Arabidopsis thaliana: one gene and its partners. The protein of the gene in region 2 purifies or fractionates together with the protein of the main gene of each other region. This does not show direct contact. Each region holds a gene or a part of one and is shown on either strand. Other genes may lie near its edges.

Region 1 (3,865 bases), on a different chromosome or scaffold from region 2:
ATTTTTATTTTTAAAAATGTGGAAAGAGCCAAAAACTTTAAAAAGAAATATAGGGGTTTGCATGCATATGGCCGCGCGTGTGTATCGCGTCATCCTACGTTTTTAGTCGTCGAGTTTAAATTGTTTGGACAAAACCTCTTGTATCTTCCAATCACTTCCATAATTTTAGGAGAAAAGAAAAACAAATATAGAAAATATAATGCAAACCCAGGGACTCGCGTTTTCCATGGTTTTCGGAATTTTGTGGGCTCTTTACCTTACGAGGAGCTTGAGCTTCAATGTTTTGATTAAAATAATAGAAGGCTTCTTGTAATATAGGATTATTGGTCAACAAATTCTTATTGTCCAAGATATTAACTGTTTGACTGAGTCTCAAAGTGGAATTAGAAACATCTTATTATGATATGTGGGTACTTTCTAGTTTCGACAAACATGTTTATGGCTTTCATCTATCAAGATTCTTCACTCTATAATTAGAATTCAAAAGTAGAGTTCACTGTCAGAATTCAAATTTATTATGTGTTTTTTTTCCGTGGTCGAGATTGTGTATTATTCTTTAGTTATTACAAGACTTTTAGCTAAAATTTGAAAGAATTTACTTTAAGAAAATCTTAACATCTGAGATAATTTCAGCAATAGATTATATTTTTCATTACTCTAGCAGTATTTTTGCAGATCAATCGCAACATATATGGTTGTTAGAAAAAATGCACTATATATATATATATTATTTTTTCAATTAAAAGTGCATGATATATAATATATATATATATATATATATGTGTGTGTGTATATGGTCAAAGAAATTCTTATACAAATATACACGAACACATATATTTGACAAAATCAAAGTATTACACTAAACAATGAGTTGGTGCATGGCCAAAACAAATATGTAGATTAAAAATTCCAGCCTCCAAAAAAAAATCCAAGTGTTGTAAAGCATTATATATATATAGTAGATCCCAAATTTTTGTACAATTCCACACTGATCGAATTTTTAAAGTTGAATATCTGACGTAGGATTTTTTTAATGTCTTACCTGACCATTTACTAATAACATTCATACGTTTTCATTTGAAATATCCTCTATAATTATATTGAATTTGGCACATAATAAGAAACCTAATTGGTGATTTATTTTACTAGTAAATTTCTGGTGATGGGCTTTCTACTAGAAAGCTCTCGGAAAATCTTGGACCAAATCCATATTCCATGACTTCGATTGTTAACCCTATTAGTTTTCACAAACATACTATCAATATCATTGCAACGGAAAAGGTACAAGTAAAACATTCAATCCGATAGGGAAGTGATGTAGGAGGTTGGGAAGACAGGCCCAGAAAGAGATTTATCTGACTTGTTTTGTGTATAGTTTTCAATGTTCATAAAGGAAGATGGAGACTTGAGAAGTTTTTTTTGGACTTTGTTTAGCTTTGTTGGGCGTTTTTTTTTTTTGATCAATAACTTTGTTGGGCTTATGATTTGTAATATTTTCGTGGACTCTTTAGTTTATTTAGACGTGCTAACTTTGTTGGGCTTATGACTTGTTGTAACATATTGTAACAGATGACTTGATGTGCGACTAATCTTTACACATTAAACATAGTTCTGTTTTTTGAAAGTTCTTATTTTCATTTTTATTTGAATGTTATATATTTTTCTATATTTATAATTCTAGTAAAAGGCAAATTTTGCTTTTAAATGAAAAAAATATATATTCCACAGTTTCACCTAATCTTATGCATTTAGCAGTACAAATTCAAAAATTTCCCATTTTTATTCATGAATCATACCATTATATATTAACTAAATCCAAGGTAAAAAAAAGGTATGAAAGCTCTATAGTAAGTAAAATATAAATTCCCCATAAGGAAAGGGCCAAGTCCACCAGGCAAGTAAAATGAGCAAGCACCACTCCACCATCACACAATTTCACTCATAGATAACGATAAGATTCATGGAATTATCTTCCACGTGGCATTATTCCAGCGGTTCAAGCCGATAAGGGTCTCAACACCTCTCCTTAGGCCTTTGTGGCCGTTACCAAGTAAAATTAACCTCACACATATCCACACTCAAAATCCAACGGTGTAGATCCTAGTCCACTTGAATCTCATGTATCCTAGACCCTCCGATCACTCCAAAGCTTGTTCTCATTGTTGTTATCATTATATATAGATGACCAAAGCACTAGACCAAACCTCAGTCACACAAAGAGTAAAGAAGAACAATGGCTTCCTCTATGCTCTCTTCCGCTACTATGGTTGCCTCTCCGGCTCAGGCCACTATGGTCGCTCCTTTCAACGGACTTAAGTCCTCCGCTGCCTTCCCAGCCACCCGCAAGGCTAACAACGACATTACTTCCATCACAAGCAACGGCGGAAGAGTTAACTGCATGCAGGTCATTTATATTTCTTCTTTCACTTTTTTATTATTCCATATGATTTTTTTCGGTTCTTTCTTCGAATCTACATAAACTAATATCATTGGAAAAATCGAAAAAATAGGTGTGGCCTCCGATTGGAAAGAAGAAGTTTGAGACTCTCTCTTACCTTCCTGACCTTACCGATTCCGAATTGGCTAAGGAAGTTGACTACCTTATCCGCAACAAGTGGATTCCTTGTGTTGAATTCGAGTTGGAGGTAATTAAACAAAATTTAAACATCTATATAAACTAGCTAGATCTTAGGAAAATTTGGTTTAATATATTAGGATCTTGATTTATATAAACATGTTCAAAATGTTATCTGAGTGGTTTGTAACATGTGGTTTGTATAGCACGGATTTGTGTACCGTGAGCACGGTAACTCACCCGGATACTATGATGGACGGTACTGGACAATGTGGAAGCTTCCCTTGTTCGGTTGCACCGACTCCGCTCAAGTGTTGAAGGAAGTGGAAGAGTGCAAGAAGGAGTACCCCAATGCCTTCATTAGGATCATCGGATTCGACAACACCCGTCAAGTCCAGTGCATCAGTTTCATTGCCTACAAGCCACCAAGCTTCACCGGTTAATTTCCCTTTGCTTTTGTGTAAACCTCAAAACTTTATCCCCCATCTTTGATTTTATCCCTTGTTTTTCTGCTTTTTTCTTCTTTCTTGGGTTTTAATTTCCGGACTTAACGTTTGTTTTCCGGTTTGCGAGACATATTCTATCGGATTCTCAACTGTCTGATGAAATAAATATGTAATGTTCTATAAGTCTTTCAATTTGATATGCATATCAACAAAAAGAAAATAGGACAATGCGGCTACAAATATGAAATTTACAAGTTTAAGAACCATGAGTCGCTAAAGAAATCATTAAGAAAATTAGTTTCACATTCAATTCTTGTCACATGATTAACGAGCTTGAGAGGTTTAGAGTAACAATATCTTGAAGCAAAAGATGACCCACTTGAAATCTAGTGATGGATACATAAGTGGACGTGCCTTGTTTAGGATAGGATTCTGGATAAGAGTCTCGAATATTCATTTTTACCAAGTATATTCAAGGATCTTGTGGATCATATATTTCCTCAATCAAAGGGACTTGACCCAAATTCACATAAAGATATTTTGGAGTCGTTTGTTTAGGTACTTTCGAAATAGGATAAGCTATGTGTGGGTCGTAAAAACTCAAAATTTTCTTTCATTTTTTTTTTTAATTTTTTCCTAATTAGTTACTGATATAGTGTAAAGTTTTGAAATATTTTAAACGATTTTTACCCCTTTTTAATAATTTTTGTACCATTTAATCTCAAGAATTATACATATTGTTTACCAAAAGGTTTTGGTCACCATCGAAAACATCGAAATGCTCAAATACCACAGAAAGATTGAAAGATAGGAGATACCAAAGATTTGTCTTTTTTTTCTTTTT
Region 2 (5,369 bases):
AGAGCTGTTCAAGAAACACATTGAGAGTGCCACCAAATTCTTGATGTCAAAGCTCAAAGACTTCCAATTGTAAGCTCTTCTCTTTTATCTTCTTTCTTCTATTTTTTTTTTGAAGTTAATTTTGTCTAATTGGTGAATTATTTTCAACGAATGTGACAGCTTCGTGGGAGAGAGCATGGAAGGAGAAGAAGGGAGCTTAGTGTTTGCTTACTACAGAGAAGGAGCCACTGATCCTACTTTTCTCTACTTGGCCTACGGCTTGAAAGAGATCAAGTGCTGAATACTTCAAAGCTACAGATTTTATTTTTTTATTTTGGAGTTTTACTTTTTGTTAGTACTTTTGGTTAATCTTGAGAGATTTTTCTATTTCAAGTGAAGTTAACTTTTATGCAATTTCCTTAAATTGAGAGCTTGAAAGGATTAGTGCAACGAAAAAGGCCTGATTAGTTTTAAAAATTCACTTGATATACGTTCAAAATACTATGATATATACAAAATATTAGAGATTGATAAGTGAATTCTCTTAAAAATTTCTGAAAGAAAACATAATTTTAGAATAGGTCTATATACCATGAACCAATACTATAGAGATACTAAGATTTCTAAATTTCCAAACTTGTTTTCAGAAGAAGATGAACACAATTAAATGTATTTTGATATAATAGATGATCCTGATTCGAAAACTTAAAAAGATCCAAATCGGAATGAGGGTACAAGTAAAACTAGTTGAAAGATAAACGGCATTGATAAAAATAAATGATGAGAGAGAGAGATCAGGCGTAGTAGTTCAAGCTTGCTTTCTTCTTGGCCTGGACTTGGATGATACCTTCATTGAAGTCTTCATGGTTCACCTGAACACACAAACACAACAACAGAGAACCCCACCTTAAAAAACAGACCAAACTACACAATCATAAAGCTCAAATCATTAAGAGTTCTGTCTTTTTTACCTCTGTGGCATCACGGCGAAGAGCTAACATGCCTGCCTCTACACACACTGCTTTCAGCTGAGCTCCATTGAAATCATCTGTTGATCGTGCAAGCTCCTCAAAGTTGACGTCTGGGTGGACATTCATCTTCCTTGAGTGAATCTGGATTCATTCAGTTGGGTTAGTTGTGTTATGAGAGCCTTTTACTTATCACCAAGGGTCATGTTTGAAAAATGGGAGAGACAAACCTGCAAGATTCTTGCTCTCGCTTCTTCGGTTGGGTGTGGGAACTCAATCTTTCTGTCTAATCGACCAGAACGCATGAGTGCTGGGTCCAGAATATCTGCACGGTTAGTAGCTGCAATCACCTGAAAAAATAGAAAGGTATGGTTGTTACTGTTTCTTTGAGAACGATTTTTAAGACCAGTATGATTAGTCCTTAGAATGGATAAAGACACTCACCTTAATACGTTCATCGCTACTGAATCCGTCAAGTTGATTGAGCAACTCCAACATAGTCCTCTGCACTTCCCTGTCTCCGCTGACTTCACTGTACTCTCAACCAAAGAATGTGATTTGAGCAAATAGCTGAGAAAGTGCAGAAATACATGAATTGGAATCAGAAAAAGATTTGTACCTGTCGAAACGCTTTGTACCAATGGCATCGATTTCATCTATGAAGATAATGCACGGAGCTTTCTCTTTGGCAAGTTGAAAGGCATCACGGACAAGCTTTGCTCCGTCTCCAATGAACATCTGTATATAAATTGGATATGTCATCATGTCATTACAATCAAGTATCATTATAGCTCGTCACATGTAATTATTGTTGCCAGAACACTAAAATCTTATATCCAGACAGGGTAAAGAGTTCTAAGAGATGAGAATTGAATCTGATACTCATATATATATATATATATATATATATATATACCTGGACCAATTGAGGGCCTGCCAATTTAAGGAAGGTGGCATTGGTCTGTGCTGCGCAGGCACGAGCCATTAAAGTTTTACCAGTCCCTGGGGGACCATACAAGAGCACTCCCTTTGGTGGACGAACACCCAGCTTCTCAAAACGTTCCTTGTGCGTCATGGGAAGCACAATTGCCTCTACAAGCTCTTGGATCTGTTCCAGAAATAAACTCAATTAGTTTCACTACGAAGCAAAGTCAATACAGCAGATTAACACAATGGTATAAACATACCTGCTTCTCTAGTCCTCCAATGTCATTGTAATCTTCAGTTGGTTTTTCATCGACCTCCATGGCTTTAACCCTAGAGTCATACTCGGATGGCAAGGTATCCAAAATCAAGTAGCTATCTTTGTTAACTCCAACCAAGTCACCAGGTTTCAAACTATCAGGATCCACGAGTCCAACAACTGGTAGAAAGATGGTCTGCAGTCCACATAACGAAAACAAAAGTATTTGCTCAGACATGAAACGGGAAACGGAAGAGAAGATGTAGAAAACATATCTAAAGAATGGGTTTGGAAGTCTCACCTGCCGTGTAGACGTTTTCAACACAACACATTTTCCTTTCCGTTGCGAGTCAAGATCAATATTTGCACCATCTTCCTCAGCATCATCTTCTGGATTCATCTCCAAAATCTAATAGCATGATATGGTAACACAACAGTTAGAATTCAAATCAAATAGGTAAGACTCTGTAGGAAAATACCAAAAATAAGATAAGAAAACTAGTTGAATACCTCGACAATGTTGCCAACCAAGTAAGGCAGCTGCTTGTTGAGTTTAATCTTCTCCTGATTCTCCTTAATCTTCTCCTTGTAAGAATCACATTCTAGATTTGTTCTTTGCGCGTCTTCCTAAATCCCCATCAAAGAAAAACACAAGATGAGCAATTTCAACATATCCAATTTGCAACAAGAAAGACGTAGCTTTTCAATTCAATCAATCTCAGTTGAGTTGAAAAATCCAAACTTTGAAAACACACGAAGAAATCACAAGAAGGGTCATAAAATTAAAGGTCTAGTTCATCTCCTGCTTCCACGGATTACACGAAACTCAAACCCTAAACCCGTAATCGCGAAAAATCGAAACCAGATTCGAGCCTGACCTTACTGGAATTAAAGCGATTGATGAAACCAATTTAAGAAGATACAATCATGGAGAACGATATAAAGGCAAAGGAGATCGAGAGAGATATAGGGCAAACCTTGAGAATTCGAATCTCGTTGTCGAGAAGACGAGTAGCTCTAGTGATATCTTCGGTGGACATGGAAGCAAGCTGATCCTCTTCGAAGCTTGACGTATCTTCAACCATAGGAGTTGCCATTTCAATACCCAAATCGGAGAGATAGATCGCCGGGAAGAGAAGAGCAAAGAGTTAGGGATTTCTCAAAGGGAGAGGAGAGGGAGAGCGACTATGAGAGAAAAAAAACCAATAAGGAGAGAAGACGAGAGAAAATAAATAACCAAAAAGAAAAAAGTAAATTATATTAGCTATTAAAAATAAAAAAGAGTTTTCTTAGGAAAACTTGTCTTCAAAGAAATGCATAGGGGAAAACCTCTGAACGAGTTAGAGTCTTCCACATTCTCTCGAACTAACTCAATATAAGACAATTTAAACCCCCCTGACTATAGCTTTCAGATTTACATTCCAATTATGAATGTCTAAATCTACTCTTGAAATTGCAAGAACCTTAATCACAAGAACTGCAACAGAAAGATTTCTTCCAAAAAAACAAACTTTATTAGAAATGCTGTTTTATTTATGTCTCTCATCCGAAATTTAAAAGAAAACCAAAATTCATTAAAACATCATAAACCTTTACAAATTCTTGTCATATATTCGAGCGTTAAGTAAACATATATATGCTCAAAACTCAATCATAAATGACAAGTAATGCCTCGGAATCTAAAAAAAACAATAATCAACAACAGAAAAGTAGTAGCATTAAACAAGCTTTTTTTGTAGCTAAGTCAGCATTGGTTGTGATAGTGGAGCCATCTTCATATAGCAAAACGATGACGTTCACGGGAGTTGGCGGGATGTATGCAATTTCAAGAGTAGTGATTCCCATAGGGATCACATTTATTGTGCAGTATCATTCGGCTAGATCTGAGGCGAAAAAGCAGGAGGATGAAAGTGATCACTGAAGACGTCCAAAGTCAGCAATATGCGATTATGAAATCAGGTAAAATTATATTTGTATTAGATGACTACCCACGCTACGCGTGGGTTTGTTTTAAAAATTGTTAAAAAAAAATTACATTGATTGTTCTTTATGCTAATTTATATTTATTATTTGTTTATTTTTGTATTATTAATAAAATTAGATCCATAATATGTAGTGATAATTTTTATGGTTAGATTCATTTGTGATTTGAAATATCAATTTATATATTTTGTCTATAAAGCTAATTATTTATAAGATTTTAATATTTTTTCACTAAATGAATACATATAACAACAATAATGATATTTTGATACAATTCTGTGTAACTATGTTATGTTTGTAGTTTAAAATTTTCCTAACTCGATTATAAATAAATCAATTCCTTGTTTTATGTACTTCAACAATATTGTGATAGACTCATGATTAAAGTTTGGATTGACATCAACTGAAAAAGATCTGAAGACTATTCGTACAAAAAAATAAAAAAATAGCAAAAATTGAATGTCATTGAAGTCAATACTTTTGGATATTTTGTCATTGCATATATCAATATTTAATAAATGATTGTGTCTTGGATGATTTGAAAATTGTTCAACTTGATTATAAATAAGAAGGTGGAGGAAATGGGTAATTACGTATGCTTTTGTTTATTTTTAGACGATGGAAGATACTTAGTTGTTTGTGTGTGTATCAGGAGGAAGGAGACCATCTCTGGACGTGGAAAACTCGAAGATGATTTGCAAGAAATTTGTGAGCCTCAACTATGACTAGTGCTCATGCTTGGAACTGAAACTATTTCTTTTAGTATATATCTAGTAATTGCTAGCTTATCACTCTTTAGACATTTTGCACCATCGTTTTGGGCATGGGACCAATATCTGATCAATATTCAAAAGTGGTTTTTGTAATGACTTTAACTTAAGGATTTTAATTTAATCATGATTCAGGATATATCAGCATCGTCTTAACAAATTAAAACAAAGCTTTCTAACCGAGGTGAACACAAAATTAATGGAGGTGATTGACAATTGAATTAAGAACAAGGATGGGGACAACGCATTATCATTAAAAACAAACGTGATTAGATTATCACTACAAACGTGATTAGATTACCACCCGGGGCCTAAGACTTTCACCATGGGCCTCTATTATTGGGCTTTCCTTTCAAATTGTGCTCTCTTTTTTTTTTTTTGCTTTTTTTTTATTAACAGATTATTTAAGGAAATCTTTATCATTCATATTAAAGTTTAATACATATTTAGTTCTTTAACAGTTCCAATAACATATCCGTTGTCGTC
Region 3 (4,841 bases), on a different chromosome or scaffold from region 2:
TACTTGATGGCTCTAGCGACAATACAAAGTTTGAAGATGAATGTCGAGCTATTATCGGAGCACAATCATATGTTCTCTTCACATTGGACAAGCTAGTTCAAAAGTTTGTTAAGCATGTAAGCTTCCATTTTACCTTGTTATCGTCTTGACTCTGCTTCTGTTCTCTCTCCTTTATTTTTGTTTGCTCCGCACTAATCATTTAAGTGGCTTGGACATGCTTCAGCTTCACGCAGTCGCAGCTGATGAGACAGACACCAAGCTTCTGCAGCTATATGCATACGAGAACTACAGAAAACCAGGAAGATTCTTTGATATAGTGTACCATGAGAATGCTCGAGCCCTTCTCCATGATCAGAACATATACAGGATTGAATATGTATGCTTCTCTTGATATGTGTGGATACCTGTTTATATGTTCCCATATACTAATCTGTATTTGCAAATTTCTGTGCAGTCATCTGCCCAAACCCGTCTCGGAATTCAACTTATGAACAGCTGGAATGATCAGCCTGAAGTTACAGCTGTAACAGTGGAACCAGGTTTTGCTAATTATCTGCAGAATGACTTTCTTTCGTTTGTCAGTGATGAAGAGAAACCCGGACTATTTCTGAAAAGGTGAATGAAGCAATGATTAGAGCATAACCTTTTTTCGTCTTCAGTTGTGGTAGTACAGTTAGTAATCACCTTAGCATACTCTTTTCAGGAACAAGGCAAAATTAAGTGGTCCGGGTGAAGAATCTCTAGGGATGTCACGTGCCTTGGAAGGATTGAACATTATCAATGAGGTTGAATGTAAGATAGCTTGCAGTTCTTTCAAGGTAAAATACTTTCTTGTGAATCTCTTGCACTGATAATCTTTTCTCTTTTCACATGTATATATGATTGATGAGAGTTTACAATCTTCATTAGGTCAAGTATGAACCACACACAGCAGATCTTTTATATAGAAGAAAGCAGAAGAAAGCAACACTGAATCCAACTGGACCTGAAAATGTTAAAACCTCTGATAGTAGTGAACTCTCGAGAAAGAAACGAATATCGCGCTTTCACATGAGTCTTAACCGCAGACTTGTCGCCTTGCCTTAACTCAAGAACGCCGTAAGTAACCCTCTTGTCTTTTATTTGCCTGTGGTGATCAATACTGCAAATCATCAATAATCTCTAACTCACGATAAATTGTGCAGGTGTGAAGTTCTTTGCTGAGAATGAGATATGCAAGAATGAGTAGTAGTAGAGAGAGACTAGAGAATAACTGTCTTTGACAAAGATTCTTGCATCATTTTAGGCTCAAAGAGATTCACATGGCAACAACCATAGTTTTTATCTTCTACAGTCTACACTGCAGCTGGAGCCGCCAGTTTTGCTGTATAGTGTTAGAATATCTTTTTTTTTTTTAAGGATGATGCTAAAATTGGATATTTTTAATTCATTCATTGAACAATTATTGAATTTTCCTTCTAATGTTAAATTCTCTTTCAAATTAATAATCTCTTTAATCACATGTTTTATTTATTTATTTTGGTTTATCCATTTGGTTATTTATCTTTAATCACATTTGAGTTTGATTATATAATATGATTTTAAGAGAATATGAATATATATTGACTCTTTTATCACAGGTGTCACGTGACTCACGTGAGGCTGTGTACGGAAAACCTTCTTATCCTCTCAGAGTCTCTTATATTAGGATCGCTATCTACTGCTTCACTGAAATTGTCCTCTCAGTTCCTACGCGAAGTTTTCAACAGATTCGCCGGAGAATCTTCGAATCAACGGCGGAGAAATGGCTCTATCACGCCTCTCATCACGATCCAACATCATCACTCGTCCCTTCTCCGCCGCCTTCAGCCGATTAATCTCAACGGACACAACTCCGATCACAATCGAGACTTCGCTTCCTTTCACAGCTCACTTATGTGATCCACCGTCACGCTCCGTCGAATCATCGAGTCAAGAGCTTCTCGATTTCTTCAGAACCATGGCGTTGATGCGACGTATGGAAATCGCAGCCGATTCGCTTTACAAAGCGAAGCTAATCCGAGGGTTTTGTCATCTCTACGACGGCCAAGAAGCTGTAGCTATAGGCATGGAAGCTGCGATTACAAAGAAAGACGCGATTATTACTGCTTATCGTGATCACTGTATTTTCTTAGGTCGTGGTGGTTCGCTTCATGAGGTTTTCTCAGAGCTTATGGGAAGACAAGCTGGTTGTTCTAAAGGGAAAGGTGGATCTATGCACTTCTATAAGAAGGAATCGTCGTTTTACGGTGGTCATGGGATTGTTGGTGCTCAGGTTCCATTAGGTTGTGGTATTGCTTTTGCTCAGAAGTATAACAAGGAAGAGGCTGTCACATTTGCTTTGTATGGTGATGGTGCTGCGAATCAGGGACAGTTGTTTGAAGCTTTGAATATTTCTGCTCTTTGGGATTTGCCTGCAATTTTGGTCTGCGAGAACAATCACTGTAAGCATTTTTGCTTCTTTCTTTCTTTCTTTCTTTCTTTGTAGGTTTGTTTTGTCGTAGTATCTGATTGAATTTGATCTGTGCAGATGGAATGGGAACTGCTGAATGGAGAGCCGCTAAGAGTCCATCTTACTACAAGCGTGGTGATTATGTTCCTGGACTCAAGGTCAGCTTTTGAATCTTATTTGTAACAAGGATTGATGTGTGAGGCTTGTTAAGATGAGAAAGGGAAGTTTTGATTGGGTAGATGGATTAGTGTCATTTCCTGAATGATATAAGTTTCTTAGTTTCCATATAGAAACAGGTAGAATGCAAGTCTTAAGTAACTTACTACTACTCAGCTTTCATTTATAACCTCTCAGTTTAGAGATGAATGTGACTGTCTTATGGATAATGATTGTCATGAATCTTCTATTGTTAACAGAGATATGGTGTGCATCATTACCTTGTTCTTATTAGGTTTCTTGTAACCTGCATCAAGTTAGCAACTTTCTTTTGAGTTTGACCGGTTGCTGGTTTGTATGGATAAACAGGTAGATGGTATGGATGCATTTGCTGTCAAACAAGCTTGCAAATTTGCTAAGCAGCATGCGTTGGAGAAGGGGCCAATAGTAAGTTTGTATTTTAGTATTATCAGACGTTTTGTTTTTTTCCCCTTTGGTCCTTACTCATCTGGCGCATTTTGTAAATTTGCTATGAGCAATATCTAGCTGTCCTGTAGGACGTGAAGTATTAATCTTTCCTTTTGCATTTTTTAGTTGATATTTACTTCCCTTCAGTTCCTCTTTTTGGACACTGCATTCCAGTAGCTGAATATTGATGGGGTGGCTGGTTCTTTCTGTGCAGTTGCAATAGAAATTACGCTGTATCAGTGTATATCAAAGAAGTGTGTTTTTGATATCGCTGTTGTTCATATAAGTAGTAGCTTTGGTTTCCAATTTATTTTCCTGTGTTTATTCTTTCCTATCATATGGATTACAGAAGCATTAATACATCGTTTCTTCTATACAGATTCTTGAGATGGACACATACAGGTACCACGGTCACTCCATGTCTGATCCTGGGAGCACATACCGTACCCGAGATGAGATATCTGGTGTGAGGCAGGTTCGTTAGTCTCTTTACCTGAAAAATCATTTCTTGGTCGAGGACTCAGCTATTGATGAAATCTCAAAAGTCAAAACATTTATGTGCTACTCTATATGACTCAGGAACGGGATCCAATTGAGAGAATAAAGAAGCTGGTACTATCTCATGACCTAGCAACCGAGAAAGAGCTTAAGGATATGGAGAAGGAAATTAGAAAAGAAGTAGATGACGCCATTGCCAAAGCTAAGGTAAAACAACAGTTACATTACTACTTTCAAAGCGTAAACTCGAGACCCTTATGCGAAAATCTCTGTACCGTTTCAGGATTGCCCAATGCCAGAGCCTTCTGAGCTCTTTACCAATGTGTATGTGAAGGGATTTGGCACCGAGGTACTTCACTAATTAGATATTCATATTGCACCACGCCCCTTGAAACTATAGTTAATCTTTCTTATTGACCCATTTGTTTTCTGTTGGCAGTCATTTGGACCTGACAGAAAAGAAGTCAAAGCTTCCCTTCCATGATCATGGAGCTCTTGTTCGTTAAACTGCCACGTGTCATGAGAAAGTTGGCTGATAGAGAAATCTATGAATATGAATAAAGATCTGATTGTATACTCTCTCTCTCCCCCCCCTTCTGAACTTTAATCTCTCTGTATCTTTGTTTACAAACATAAGGAGAAACAATGTTATTCTTGTGAAGCTTTAGTAGTCTCGTGTTTAATATTCAAGCAATCGAGTTGAGATCTCATTTTGTGCTGCACTCCAAATAATATAACAAATTGAATTACAAACAAAGGCCAGTGGAATGGTTTCTTCTGTTTGTATTCTTCGTCTTTCCCAAAAAAAAAAAAGAATTCAACTTTGGCGTAACCAATCCATGAACCCGAAAAAAAAAAATCAACAAAACAGGTAAAATTGAAAGAACCATCTTCAAAGAACCTAATGAATATTTTTACCAACAAGCTCCCCTATCATTCTGTATATACATAATAACAAATGTAAATGATATTTTTTTGCTTTTCTGGTTATCAAGATTCTGAGTCTGAGTCACTTGAACTGCTGTACCTTGAACTCTCTGACATGAAATTTGGAGGCAGAATTGGAAATCTAACTGCGTTCCTTTGCGGTGCAGCAGCAACGCTCGGAGTTTCTGCTGGTGAACTTGATGCTCCTGCTACTGTTGTTGCAGGTCGTTGTTGCTGTTGTTTCCGTTGATTCCTTGCGATCTCACTACATGCATTATCAACCATCCCTAAGAAATCACGGATTATAACAAACAGTTGAAAC

What was found. The genes of interacting proteins can lie anywhere in the genome.
Region 1: the proteins of RPT5A (region 2) and RBCS1A purify together in Arabidopsis thaliana (affinity purification with western blotting, with the first as the bait; one study listed by BioGRID). This does not show direct contact.
Region 3: the proteins of RPT5A (region 2) and E1 ALPHA purify together in Arabidopsis thaliana (affinity purification with western blotting, with the first as the bait; one study listed by BioGRID). This does not show direct contact.

Annotation. Positions count from the first base shown.
Region 1 is NC_003070.9:25,047,618-25,051,482, reverse strand, and holds RBCS1A (ribulose bisphosphate carboxylase small chain 1A), read left to right. Parts: upstream 1-1,815; 5' UTR 1,816-2,233; coding exon 2,234-2,404; intron 2,405-2,510; coding exon 2,511-2,645; intron 2,646-2,781; coding exon 2,782-3,018; 3' UTR 3,019-3,325; downstream 3,326-3,865. UniProt on the Arabidopsis thaliana protein: RuBisCO catalyzes two reactions: the carboxylation of D-ribulose 1,5-bisphosphate, the primary event in carbon dioxide fixation, as well as the oxidative fragmentation of the pentose substrate.
Region 2 is NC_003074.8:1,601,398-1,606,766, reverse strand, and holds RPT5A (regulatory particle triple-A ATPase 5A), read right to left. Parts: upstream 3,409-5,369; 5' UTR 3,228-3,408; coding exon 3,108-3,227; intron 2,758-3,107; coding exon 2,641-2,757; intron 2,540-2,640; coding exon 2,432-2,539; intron 2,327-2,431; coding exon 2,135-2,326; intron 2,056-2,134; coding exon 1,864-2,055; intron 1,686-1,863; coding exon 1,567-1,685; intron 1,480-1,566; coding exon 1,392-1,479; intron 1,298-1,391; coding exon 1,178-1,297; intron 1,092-1,177; coding exon 951-1,091; intron 852-950; coding exon 774-851; 3' UTR 524-773; downstream 1-523. Other genes in the region: AT3G05540 (Methionine sulfoxide reductase (MSS4-like) family protein), read left to right, coding at 1-69, 160-280; CPA (Subunits of heterodimeric actin filament capping protein Capz superfamily), read right to left, coding at 5,330-5,369. UniProt on the Arabidopsis thaliana protein: The 26S proteasome is involved in the ATP-dependent degradation of ubiquitinated proteins. The regulatory (or ATPase) complex confers ATP dependency and substrate specificity to the 26S complex.
Region 3 is NC_003070.9:22,049,585-22,054,425, forward strand, and holds E1 ALPHA (pyruvate dehydrogenase complex E1 alpha subunit), read left to right. Parts: upstream 1-1,548; 5' UTR 1,549-1,783; coding exon 1,784-2,462; intron 2,463-2,548; coding exon 2,549-2,628; intron 2,629-2,995; coding exon 2,996-3,073; intron 3,074-3,473; coding exon 3,474-3,569; intron 3,570-3,673; coding exon 3,674-3,799; intron 3,800-3,875; coding exon 3,876-3,941; coding exon of another isoform or gene 3,942-3,953; exon of another isoform or gene 3,954-3,975; intron 3,976-4,031; coding exon 4,032-4,076; 3' UTR 4,077-4,301; downstream 4,302-4,841. Other genes in the region: SNL5 (SIN3-like 5), read left to right, coding at 1-116, 224-376, 455-615, 704-818, 910-1,086; AT1G59910 (Actin-binding FH2 (formin homology 2) family protein), read right to left, coding at 4,583-4,841. UniProt on the Arabidopsis thaliana protein: The pyruvate dehydrogenase complex catalyzes the overall conversion of pyruvate to acetyl-CoA and CO(2).